Neodiprion lecontei: one gene and its partner. The protein of the gene in region 2 interacts with the protein of the main gene of each other region in a pairwise test. Links are inferred from orthologs where the notes say so. Each region holds a gene or a part of one and is shown on either strand. Other genes may lie near its edges.

The links.
Region 1: the proteins of neurogenic protein mastermind (region 2) and suppressor of hairless protein interact in a two-hybrid assay, tested with the Drosophila melanogaster proteins (6 studies listed by BioGRID). The link is inferred for Neodiprion lecontei from reciprocal best matches to the Drosophila melanogaster genes mam and Su(H).

What each region holds. Positions count from the first base shown.
Region 1 is NC_060264.1:23,422,814-23,430,416, reverse strand, and holds suppressor of hairless protein, read right to left. Parts: upstream 5,715-7,603; 5' UTR 5,444-5,714; intron 5,291-5,443; exon of another isoform or gene 5,166-5,290; intron 4,951-5,165; exon of another isoform or gene 4,810-4,950; intron 4,519-4,809; exon of another isoform or gene 4,205-4,518; intron 4,119-4,204; exon of another isoform or gene 3,600-4,118; intron 3,517-3,599; 5' UTR 3,395-3,516; coding exon 2,645-3,394; intron 2,558-2,644; coding exon 1,787-2,557; 3' UTR 768-1,786; downstream 1-767. Other genes in the region: DNA excision repair protein ERCC-5, read left to right, coding at 5,934-6,021, 6,134-6,309, 6,606-7,049, 7,129-7,348, 7,412-7,603. UniProt on the Drosophila melanogaster protein: Transcriptional regulator that plays a central role in Notch signaling, a signaling pathway involved in cell-cell communication that regulates a broad spectrum of cell-fate determinations.
Region 2 is NC_060265.1:1,240,982-1,246,090, reverse strand, and holds the start of neurogenic protein mastermind, read right to left. Parts: upstream 3,187-5,109; 5' UTR 1,248-3,186; coding exon 756-1,247; intron 1-755.

The DNA of each region.
Region 1 (7,603 bases), on a different chromosome or scaffold from region 2:
CTACCATGGTCTGTTATTATCACTATTATTATTTAGGATTTAAATCTATTTCGATTATGCAACTAAAATATAGTATATTTAATATATTAATCATACAACATGGAAAGGAAAACGAGAAAATATGAAAAGCAGCTGATTAGGGCAAGCAGTCATACTTCCCATCCAAGTCTTCCCCTTGGAGCATATACAATGCTCTAAGGTTTTCCCATACGAATTGTATCCGTCCAGTCTCGGGTTATTATACATAAATAAATAAATACATACATATATATGTGTGCGTGTGTGTGTGTGTGTATAGAGAGCGAGAGAGAGAGACAGAGAGAATTATGCACAATTATGTATACACTAGGAGGATGTAATTATTGTAAGCTCGGATTTAACCGTGTTGCGAATAAGAAAGATAAACGTGCCTCACTGCTGTTGTCGAGTACCCGACACTGTGAGGCAACGAGAATGTTAATTGTGGGTAAATTCCCATGGGATGCCACATTTCCATTCCTTGCTAACAATAGAGCATATCACATGGAGACAGGCAGATTCGAGTCGATCTTATCTCGTTTCCTCACCAGTAATATACAATACATACCTGTTCAAAAAACGGAAATATGCCTTGAGAAAAATTTAAAAAACTCCAATATGTATATACTATACATACAGGAAATCTTGCAACCTAAAGTGTTGTGGAAATTCGCGGAGGTGTCGGTACGTACATATATATGTACATAGATACATATACATTCAATCATAAACTGCGATATACTGAAATATTATCTGTATTCATCATTGTATTATTGTTATAAATGGTGCTGTTCCATTATGCAAACACATGTTATATGCATTATGTATATCTACAATTATAACTTGAAAATAGAAAGAAGTATTCTAATTGGATATTTTTTCTCAATATCTTTTGAAGACGTAAAAAATAATTGAAACAAGGCGTGTCCCACTTCATACCACGTGTATATACTAATGGACCCTTGAGGTATTTTTATACAAGTATTTTCTCGGCCAGGATTCAGATTTCTGCATATTATTTCTGTATATCGTACATATTACATCTACACGGTATATTACGAAAAGGGTAATTGCATATGTATCGCTTTTCGATTCGTGTGTAGAAGAAATAACAGATATTCACATTTTTAGCTAAAAGATTATAAATATGGTAAGAAAAATATTACAAAATGTCTTCTTGGTATTATTTCTTGTACATACGAGTTTGTTACTCCACACGCTTACGAGGAGCCATAATCAGGGTGGCAATAAATGACCGGGTGATATTAAATTCCTGGACTTTTCTAGATTAAGAAAGTTCTCCAATGATTCCTGGTTTTTCCGGCCTGTTACGGCCCATTGCTTCAATGGCAGGGGGGACTTATTAGAAATAATAGTTTTCATACAATGCAGATTCTAGAATTACTCATAGAAAATCAGATCGAGTATAAGGGAGAACAATGAAGCTGAAGATGAGGATAAAGTTTATTCACCGTTTCTATATTTTTTTTCTTCCCTTCATAACTGTTGTTCCCTCTTTTTCTATATCTTTTTTACGAACAGCAGCACTGTACTTAGTGACCAGATTCATACAAATTTTGTAGATGATAAGCATTTTTACAATTCGGCATCACCTAAAATTGTCGCTGCACATGTCACACTCATCTCCCTAAGTCTCGTCAGCTTGCCGCAAAAAACTTTCACCACTAGAGCTATTCTCACCGTCACTGTCACTGTAGCTGTCATTAGAAGCCGATCCACTGCTCAGATTCTGGCAGTGCGCGATACATCAGAGTCCCGACTGAGGCTGCTGATGGTGAATATTCCAAGGAACATCGGCAATCGCAGGGGGCAGACTCGGATCATGCATGGACCTCGGCGCTCTCATTATCTCGTCAGCAGGAGGACAGTGTGGCCGTGGCCCAGGTTCAGGGGTATAAGTGAACGTCAGTCCCGTCGCATAAATAATCCCGTCATTCCTGACTAGCGAAACTGGGACTTGTGTGGGCTGCCTAACCCAGAGCCATTCCCCCCTGAACAAAGAAATGTCTGGAACAACGCACAGCATGCTCTCTTGACACCTATACATCGTCTCGGCCTCAACATCGCCAAACCACACTTGTAAATTTGGTGTAAAATTATCCCCGGTTAGTTCGAGCATCGCTACGTCGCCACCACCATTCAAGTGCAGGCTGTGAACCAGGGGGACTGGAGTTACGGGAGAACGGACAGGCCCCATTCCCTCGAAAAACTGATACTCTGCTTTGTCTGTACTTATGATGGTCCAGCAGGCGCCATCATTGATCATCTCCTTGTTGGCTTCTTTGGGGCACGGCGTTGCCTGAAACTGTATTATTCTCTCCTGGGACAGACAGAGGTACATGTGATCTGTGTCTTTCATATAGAAGGCGCACTTGTGCAACTGGGAAACTGGGTCATCTGCTTCTAAACTTGCCATCTGCTTGTCTACCTTCCTGATTATCAGACGTGGCAAGGCCATGCCTGTTACCGAGCAAACCAGCTTTACTGTACTTCCGTAGTGAACATACCCATCTCGAACCTGCAAATCTCACAATATACCATGATAGATCTTGCATGACATTGTGCATGGTGTAAAATTAATCTCACAGGATAGAAGATAGCATACCTGAAACTCTTCAGACTCGCTTTCATTATCATCGAGCAGATGTATAGTGAAGGCACCCCACTGGGTTGAGCTGGCGTGAAAATTGCCGTTCTCGACATGGAGGTATCTGGTGCTGACAGTCTGGGACCTGAGGCGATTAAACAGGGCGACTCTGGTGCCACTGGCAATGCATAGATCGGCATTCTTGAGGGATTGCTTCTTCTTTGACGGCTTCGATATCACCTTTATCCTCTTGCTGTGAAATACACCTATGTCATGTCCGCTACCATAAAACATCTTAACCGACAGCATAAAATGTTTTCGCTTGTCAGAGTCTGATATGTACAAAGTCTTAGCAGCGCAATACTGCTTCCCGTTGTTGAGGTCCAGCTGCTGCATGTCCTGGTCTGAGTTGCCAATCCCGATGAAGGCGCACAGCTGTGCCGACTGTTCGGACTCCCCCTCGCGTAGCATTTGTTCTTGGCGCATCCTCCACCCATCCCCAAAGAGGTATATGCATGGTGGAGGACAGAAGAACCGCTTCTCATTGCCATACGACTTCTGTGCCACCTTGGCATGCAGGATCACTATCACCATGTCACTTCGATCGCGGAGGTAGCGCTCCATCGCTTCACGCGTCAGCCGCTGGTCTGTATCAGATCTGTACACTCCGGAGGAGGCAAATCTAGGATAGGATGACGACACAGCTGACGGAGATGGAGGGGACTGCATGCCGTGCGCCATTGCAGGCAGCCCAAACTGATGCGGCATATTTACACTCGTTACTATCTAGGCAGGAAACCAATTTCTGAGCACCACTTTTTAGAGCACCAGTTACATCTTCGCACGTGTGGATATGATCCCTGCCACTTGCCCGCAGGTCAGCTCTTCATCTGGAAAACAATACGTGTTACAGACACAGATACAGCTGCTTATTCTATATTTTTCTGATTTTTTTTGTACGATTTAAACCTACATAATCTCACTTTTTAAAAACGTACTATGTTAAAAGGCAAAACGCGCGTATCACACGCGGTAGCAACCATCGCTCGGCGATACCCAGCTGATATCAAACCCGGCGAATGAAAGCATCTGAATTAAATCACAGAAATTACATGCGTGCAGATAAACGAATTTTCACGCGCGACGGTTAATTGTTGTCAAACAATCCGAGGCACTGCCAGCTTTTCTCGCTTTAGCCTAGATGGAGCGGGTTTAGCTACGTTTGCTCTACTGGCCCTAACGAGCACGCTGTCGGTAATGACAACGCAATATTTTTAATTATTTCTACTCTCAAGCGTACTTGCAAATTTAATGTTGAATTTAACATTTATCATCCAAACATCGCAAAGTAGTAAAGAAACAGGATTGCTCGGAAAAAACATGCTTTCACTTGTACCAAATATACACGTGAATGCATATATCACTCCGCACGTATACTATACCTATGCATTTACGTATTTACGAGCGTACTCATATACGAGACGTTTGTTTACTAATATATTGCACCGAATTACCGCGAGGTTACGATAGGTTGCATTGCAGACAGGGTGAAAACGTACGGGTAACAAACAGGCCTACCTCATTTCCCACTGCTGCGAACGGCTTTATCCATGTCCAGCCGTGGTTCGTCAGTTCTTTCGATTTGGTAACTACGAGGGTGAGAAATGTTTTCGGTAGAGACGCCCGTTTCGGCATCCATACCTCGTTTCGTTAGCTATTACTATTTCGGAAGCATTGTGGCGGTCCCGAGAATAACTGACTGCAATACACTGTACACAACTGTAGCCTACCTGCCTGCCTGTCTTTTCCTAACAATTAATCCATTCAAAAAACACCTGTTCACTTTACGAATTTTCCGACAGTTCTGCCAACGCTCGCGCAAACTCACCGCACCATCCGACGTCAATTGGCCCTACGAGCGTATCTATGAGCTATGCATGTATCACATACGTATGTACTACACACATGCGTCGCCGGTTCTACGGTGAAGAAAACTGCTACGAGACACTCCGACCCGAAGAACTTTTGACAGAGAACAATTACTCACAAGGGGACGGCGAGTGTTGCGCTGAACGGCAATTAAAAACGGAGTTCGCGAGACTCGCCGCCGTCACCCCGCGGCAGCGACGATAGATTTTATTAGTTAAAAGTGGTCCGAGCCGTGTGTAACATTTTATCACATGTATGCTACATACATACGGACGTGTGTATGCCTGGACAATGATGGTTCAATGTCAGAGTCTGGGATGGAACTAAACAATCCCCCGCGACGGCGTAGAGTTATTATTCCATCGTAAGTGGCTGAAGTTTCTATTGTTTTACTGTTCTACAATGCCCCGGTCTGGCCTGGGCACTCGTCTCCCACTCTACTCCGACCCCGCCGGCCCCACTTCCCAGCTACAACGCCTGGAATTGCTGCCGCAAAAGGATGTTGGGGTTACCCTCGAGGGCGTGGGAAAAACCTGCTGTGGGAAAGAGTGGGTGGGTGGCCTCAACTCCCTCACTCACCCCACTCCGGTCCGCTCCATTCCACTTCTAACTGCGTGGTTATGATGACCACGATTCACGCACACGCGTGTCGATGTACATCCGTATGTACAGTATTTACCGTGTGACGTGTGTATGCATACAACGCGCTCCATCTTGCTCGCTTGATGCTACCATGTAAGATATAACACGCTGTTCGACTCGGGTAAACCTGACTATGAATTCGTTGACAAATCGTAATACATAAAACGATAATTACGCCACATACTTCCATTATTCATATGAATACTTAGTAGTTATGATACATACAAATTTGCCTATACTGTGTACCTGTAACATGCGATGCTTGCGTGTAGGCCTGCATTTGTCGGATAATCGCTTCATCGTTTCTTCCGAATGGTCTGTATGTATCCTCCCCAGCTTTTAAATATGTACCGGGTGATATGCATTCATCTATAAAGACATCGGATTCAATCTTTAGTTTCCTTCCATTCAATGTCTCTACTTCTTTGCGCACCGCGTCGTGGCGACATAGACTACTGGGGTGGTATGTTTGCACATGAGCTACATTTTTTTAACCGCGAATAATTTTACGTAGTACGCACAGCGACGATCAGCAAAGATGCGTCTCGTCCCTGTCGTTTCGGTGAGTAACGTCAATCGTGAATAACGACCATAACATCCGTGTCAGTACCATCAATAATTGAGGTTATGTTATACTAAAACCGCGAAAGCAATAACTTACAACTGATGTAAATGTTTCCGACAAGTGTTATATGAAATTTGTTTCCTCAGAATTAATGATATATAATTATTCACCATGGGCGTTCATGGTCTGTGGCGACTGCTGGATGCTGCTGGAAAACCAGTGGCTTTAGAAACACTGGAGGGAAAAGTCCTCGCCGTCGGTATCCTTTCAATACCCATTATCAACCAAACTCGATCATTGGTTACCTCAATGGCAATGATACTCATATACCCACGTCTGCATTCTACATTTATCTTAACTTAAACCTTCAGATGTTTCCATTTGGTTGCATCAAGTGATGCAAGGATATCAGGATGGGCACGGAAGTCCTCTGCCCAATGCTCATCTTCTTGGGTTATTCAATCGAATATGTAAATTACTGTATTATAAGATCAAACCTGTGTTTGTATTTGATGGCGGCGTACCTCTGCTCAAGAAGAACACGATTGTAAGTTTCGTCAGGAATAGATGGTGCAGATTTTCATGTTTGTTGAGTAAATATAGCTACACATAGGACACCTTGTCTTCTACTTTTGGTATGGCAAAATTAAAGTTTCAAACTTCTATTTTGTATGTCCTAAAACGAATATAACATACAAGCGTTCACATGCTATATCATATGCAGAATATAGTTTGTTATCTTGATTTTAATGCAAGTATGTAAAAATGCAATTAGGCTAAGCGTGGGAATAAGGTAGTGAGAGAACGGAGTTAATTATTCTATTGTCTTATCCCCCTGTCCAGGCTTCTCGCAGAAAGCAGAAATCTATGGCATCTAGTAAGGCGCAAAAAATGAAGAACGACTTGATAAATAATTTGCTTAAACGTACGGTAGTCAAGGGAGCCCTGGGTGCTGGAAGTGCTGAGAAGCAGGAAGAAAAGGGGGAAACCAGTGAGAAAGTCGATCGATCCTCTGTACATTCGTCTCTGAATTTATTCAAGCTACCCGTCATTCCCAGTAGCAGCGAGTTTGTTTCGGAGAACGAAGATGATCCGGAGACAGAAACCGAATCATCTGTTCAACTTAGTCCGAGGAAACAAGCCAAATGGAAAGGAAATATCCACAGTGTTGATGTCAGCAGCACAGAGTTTAGGGCATTGCCACCGGATGTCCGTCACGACATACTAACCGATCTAAAGGCGTCGAGGAAGGAAAACTCTTGGGGATGTCTTCATGAAATGCCTGAGGTTTGCTTTGCTCTTGACTATATAAATGAAATATTTAAAGGTAGGGATGATTTTATGAATGATTGAAAAATCTTTTCAGGATACTCACGATTTTTCAAACTACCAAATGAAGCGTTTGCTTAAGCGGAGAAATGTTCAGGAATGTTTGGAGGAAGCTGAGCGAGAGATGGGAGGCAAGACCATGACTTTGGAAGAATTGGATGTCCTTCTCACTGAACAGGGGATTGCTACAACTACAAAGATTGATAATGCGAGTCGCATTGCAGCTGACAACTTGACAAGATTTGTGTATATCAATGGTAAATATCTTACCCATATTTTTCTCATATTGAACAGTTGCTACTGTTGTTTGTGATTTTCAGGTGTGAATAAGGATGTTCTGACAGCCAAAAAACCTGACATTACCAAAGTCAGTTCATTGAGTTCAAACTCAGAGAATAACGGGATTCCGTCAGAAGACGGTAATGTGGAGATAATTGAAAATTTGAAGGAATACGAGCTTGACGAAGACTGGGAGAGTGACTGGGAATCTAGCGATGAGCCAGAAGTCACAG
Region 2 (5,109 bases):
AATCCGTGTCCAAGATCGTCCGTACAGGTGCATTACAGTCATGCACCATGTACGGACGGACGGACGGACACGCACACCCACACAAGCTGGATCGAATGGATGGTCGAGCCGAGCGAAGGCTTCGGGCTGCGTGCATATAATAATATAATTAGACGCGATAACTGGACGGGCGGAGGGGGAGCCGGCGGCGAACAGAAACGGCGAGATCGCATCTCTCTCGCGGAGTCGTCGTCGTCGTCGTCTAGGGTATAAACGTACACCAGAGACGCGTGCGTATGTATGCACATAGATGCATGAATCATGGAGAGAGTTAAACGCGGGAATCGAATTGGAATGTCGGGTTGCTCCGGTCTAAGCTCGGATTACTGCACTGGCTGGTTGGTTGGTTGGGTCGGGCAAGCAAGACGCCCGTAGTCACCGTCGTCCTCCTCGTCCTCACCGTCGCTCGCCCGTTACATACCGTTGTTGTACTAACGACTTTCCGTACGTGCGGCTCAACTAACTCTCTATCCCTCTACCTCTCTCTCTTTCTTTTCTTCCTTACAACGGTATCACCTCGAAGAGGATTAGGGAATTCGAGACAATACGTTTGACTTGTAAGAAACGGGACAGCCGGAATGTTTATGACCGTTTTAGGTACTTGGAAAGAGAGAGAGGGAGGGAGGGAGAGAGAGAGAAGGGCTTTTATCACAATACGTACAGGGAAAGGTTTCGCATAATAAAGAAACAAACGGGAATAACAGAGGTAAACTCACCACGTGAACGCTGGCGAGTCCGACGGGGTCGTTTTGCTTCTTGTCGGTCTTCTTGGCCTGCCGTTTGGCCTTGCTCTCGAGAAATCGTTGCTTGAGCACCTGAGTGTCCTGGCTATTTTGTTCAACGAGTCCGTTGAAGCTCTGATCAAACCTGGGTATGCAGTCGGTCTGCCGCCTCCTGTAGCTTTCGATCCTCCTCCTTAGCCTGTCGAATACGGCCTGCCTCTTTGGGGTTAAGGCATCCTCCATCCCCGGCGCCTGTCCCATTTGTAATTGTTGTATCTGATTCTGGGCGATCAATTGGTTCGCGTTCAAGCCACCCGGCTGCACGATGATGCCGTTGTTGTTGTTGTTGTTGTTGAGGTTGTTGTTATTGTTGTTGTTGTTATTCTGGTGCTGCACGCTCTGCTGAGACGCGCCCACGCAGGCCGAGGCTGGCCCTGAGGGGGGGCCTTGCGGGGGCTGCCGGGGCAGGAGCCCCCCTGCCTCCATACAGCCCCCTAAGTCCAGCGCAGGGTACGCCAGCTCAATGAGAGCCTCTGCTTCTCGTCGCCCTGGCGCCGCGACGGGGTGTCTCCTCCGCCACCGCGATAATCCCCCCTCGCATCCTCCCCTTGCACCGCGAGCCGTCCTTCCACGGGCGGACAGCCGCCGCTCCGACTTTTACTTCTACCTCTACTTCTACGACGACTGTTTCCACGTCTGCGTCTACGTCTACCTCAGCCTCTGCCTCTTCCTCTTCCTCTTCTTTTTCTTCTCTCTTACTCGAGAAGGTGCCCCCGTTGGACTTGACTCGCAGATTGTCACTCGCTTCTCCCTCCTCCGCAACCTCGTACATCGGCGTACGACGCGCGATTGTTCCTATTTTTCGTCACCTCCCCTTCGCCCCCGCCTCCTTGCAACAAGGAATTTTACGTTATTATCACTCGGCGAGCGCTATACGCTCTCCTCTCGCTTTTGTCGCTTCGCTGCCGCTTCTTATCGTATCGAGAATCACGCGTGCCGCGCTCGCGCAGGCGCAGGCGCAGGTTCAACTCCGTGACGAGGAGGGTGAAGAAACACACTGCGAACGGCGACGACGGCAATGCCCTATAGCGGTGGTAGCGGTCCTCTTCCACGTGATGTAAACAAGAACCCGATGACATTCGGCGGCGTCTTCGTTACGACCGTAAACATTGTAGGGATTCGACGTGTTGTACTTCCACCTAATTGTCACTACTGTCAACTCCGCGCACTCTTACCCAACTATTGCACTTTCTTTGTTCGCCGCGCGTGTGTATGCACTACGTACGAATATCAGCGGCAGCCCTTTCTCGCCTCTCGCGCCGAAGGGTGTAAAAGAACGTCAACAAGAATAACTGTAAACAATCCGTCCCGGCGAACCGCGCCACCTTTCCCGATCCTCGACTTGTTCGACGCACGACGGGTATCGCGTGCACCGATCGCGAGTAGTCTCGCCTACTTACTCGTCGTTATACGTACGTCTCCTCGAGTGCTCTCCTACCAGCCGATCGTCGTTCGCAGCGGCAGAAGGCGACGTCGAATAACGCGCGGCTCGACGTCACAACAGGTAGTTGAGAGTGAGCGCGGCGTGTTTCAGCCGACTAGAAAGAGACGGTCGTAGGTCGTTCGGCACGAGGGGGGGGGGGCGGAGTGCGACATCCAACGGACGGGGGTAAGCGACGTGAAGAGCGAGAGAGAGAGGGGAGGGGGGGAGAGAGACGAACCGGTGTACCGCTGCTAGAGAGTCCGAGGGACGCACAACTGCCGTAGCTGCAGCCTGAAGCCAACCGCAGGAGAGACGGACACGCCGGGTTTATCCGCCGCCTCCCTCTATTTTCTCTCGTTCTCTCTCTCTCTCTCGCTCTCTCGCTCTCTCTCTCTCTCTCTCTCTCTCTCTCTGTTTGCGGGAGAGAAGGAGGGCCCGATGTTGTACTCGATAAAACGTCAAGACAGAAGAGAAGCGGACTTCTGCGATTCGGGCTAAACGCCGAACGACGACTGACGAAGGTTTCGATCGTGAACCCCGTTCGCATTTACTTCTTTCCCGTGATCGTTGCACTTTGAACGGTGGTGAGAGTTACATGTTGTTTCGAACGCGCGGCGTTTGTCACATGTTGTTTGTTTTGCTTTATCGACAGAGAGGGGGGATGAGTAACACCGAGGTTCTCGTACGCACAATGATAACACTTCACACCGTATCTTCCTTCTCCTCGTCCTCGTCCCGTAAGTCTAACCCTAACCTCACTTTTCAACTGTCACTATCCACTCTTCGTCGGGTCACAGATTCTACCGCACGGTCAGTTTACGTTAATCACGACGCGCGCGACCCCGCGATGACAACACATTCAATTCCCCCAAACGGCCGTCTCGTTTTACCCCTGTATAACGCGCGGGGCCATTACCACAACTGCGCGTGGGTACGGGAGCATATATCGTTGAAACGGCAAACCGTAATTACAACATCGCAAACAGCGACGCCTGGATCCGAAACGCCGAACTGCCGCGCCACTGCCTTTCTCGGTGGGACACGTGACCCTCGCGCCATCTTGAATTCAGGCTGCCGACTAACTGCCTCGTCGACGCTCGGGAAGAAAGCTGTCGTGGCGAGCGTGGATGGCGAGGATGTTTTGGAAAAGCGGTTGCGACCTTTAACCGAATGAAACTGAGAATGATTCGGGAGTAACCGCTCCCTTAGTTGGCGAATAGGATTCGTTTCACATCTGCGAATTCGAATGAACAGATTTACTCGCAAGATTTTAAGGTAAGGCATTTTCTTACGCTAGGGTTCTTAATACTCTCACCTATGGCGCCACAACCCGGATCGCATCGATGTATTTTGTTTTTTTGCATCGTCAACAACGTGAGAAAGAAACCGATGCAGTGAGTTAATCGAAATACATACATAACAATACGTAAAATGCGAAGCGATATGTGAATTTCTGACTTCCCGTAATTTCCCGTATCCACCAGGATGCGTGTCGACTTTCACACAAATTTGTTTCGACCTGACCCGAGAAAACAAAAGACAGAGCAATCAGGCGACTCGAAATCGGGAAGTTTTATTGTGGAAGAGGATTTGTTAGTACTTCTCACGACTTGATCAATTGATTATCAATCATGCTATCGATTACAGACCTGTTTTTACGACAAAAAGGAACCTGAAGGAGGCAACATTCGCGTTCAATCGAAGATGCCGCTGGTAGTCTTATTTTGTAGAGAGAATCTTATCTGGCCTACGGTATGCCAAAGTACACGATTCCATAGAAAACACAGATAAACGATCGGAGATATTTCGAAGAAGAAAATATGGGATACACAAATTGAGACGCAGTAAGGTAAGAAGTTACCGTGAATAAAAATTATTGGTAACAAAATAAGGAAGGGAGGGAGAGCGATTCTTTCTCCCTCCCTCCCCCCTGCCGTAATCAGGCAGAATGCAAAATATTTACCCGTGAGCTTACGAACACGGCAAGCACAAGTTTTGTTAATATTTGACATTTATTGTCAATTCTGATTGCAACGGTTGAGCTTTATTCACGGAATTAACAACAGGTAAATTCCGTGAACCAGGTAAATAAAAAAGTATTTAAATTTGACACTAATTGACGAAGTGATTATTATCTTTTCTGCTCGTTCGGATTCCCGTAGTCGTATAATTGGCTGTGAACCGGAACTTTGGTTAATACGGTTCAGTCAATAAGTTTCTTGCCGTTTGGTTTGAAAAGTTTTTCACAATTATCCCAAACCTTTTGTCACTGATGTTTTAGCCTATGTTAACGACTTTCAAATTATCATGCAGGCGTTCTGAATTTCTCTTTTCTCACAAGTTAGTTGAGCGTTCATAATTTATTATTTTTAGACTTTTTCTTTACTTCAACTTTTACTTCTCTTTGCGTGCAAGAAATCACTAAAAATGGTAGCTCTCTTCATCGTTTTTATCTATCTATTTGTGCTCACGGTGTGACAAAATTGGCAATGGTCGCAAACAGGGTTGAACTCGTTTCTATATCTCGTTTCGGTAAACTCAGAAGCAAACTTCGACGATTTCCGCTGCGAAAAATATTTTTAACTGACTATATTTTCTAAACGCCCAATTCGATCGCTAAAGTTACAAGTTGAAGTTGTTCTTATTGTAATGCACATTTCAAAAAGATTGTTATAAAAATGTGCAATGTGCTTAGAACACCGAAACTGTGCCTCATTATTGAAAAATAAATGTTGACATTTTAAACAGTCATTTCGTAAATACCTGTGAAATTTAGGTACATTTTTATCATCTTGTATCACGGAAACAACTGGTCAATCTCAATCGGTGTAATTAGAATCGGCAATAACGGTAAAATATTCGAAA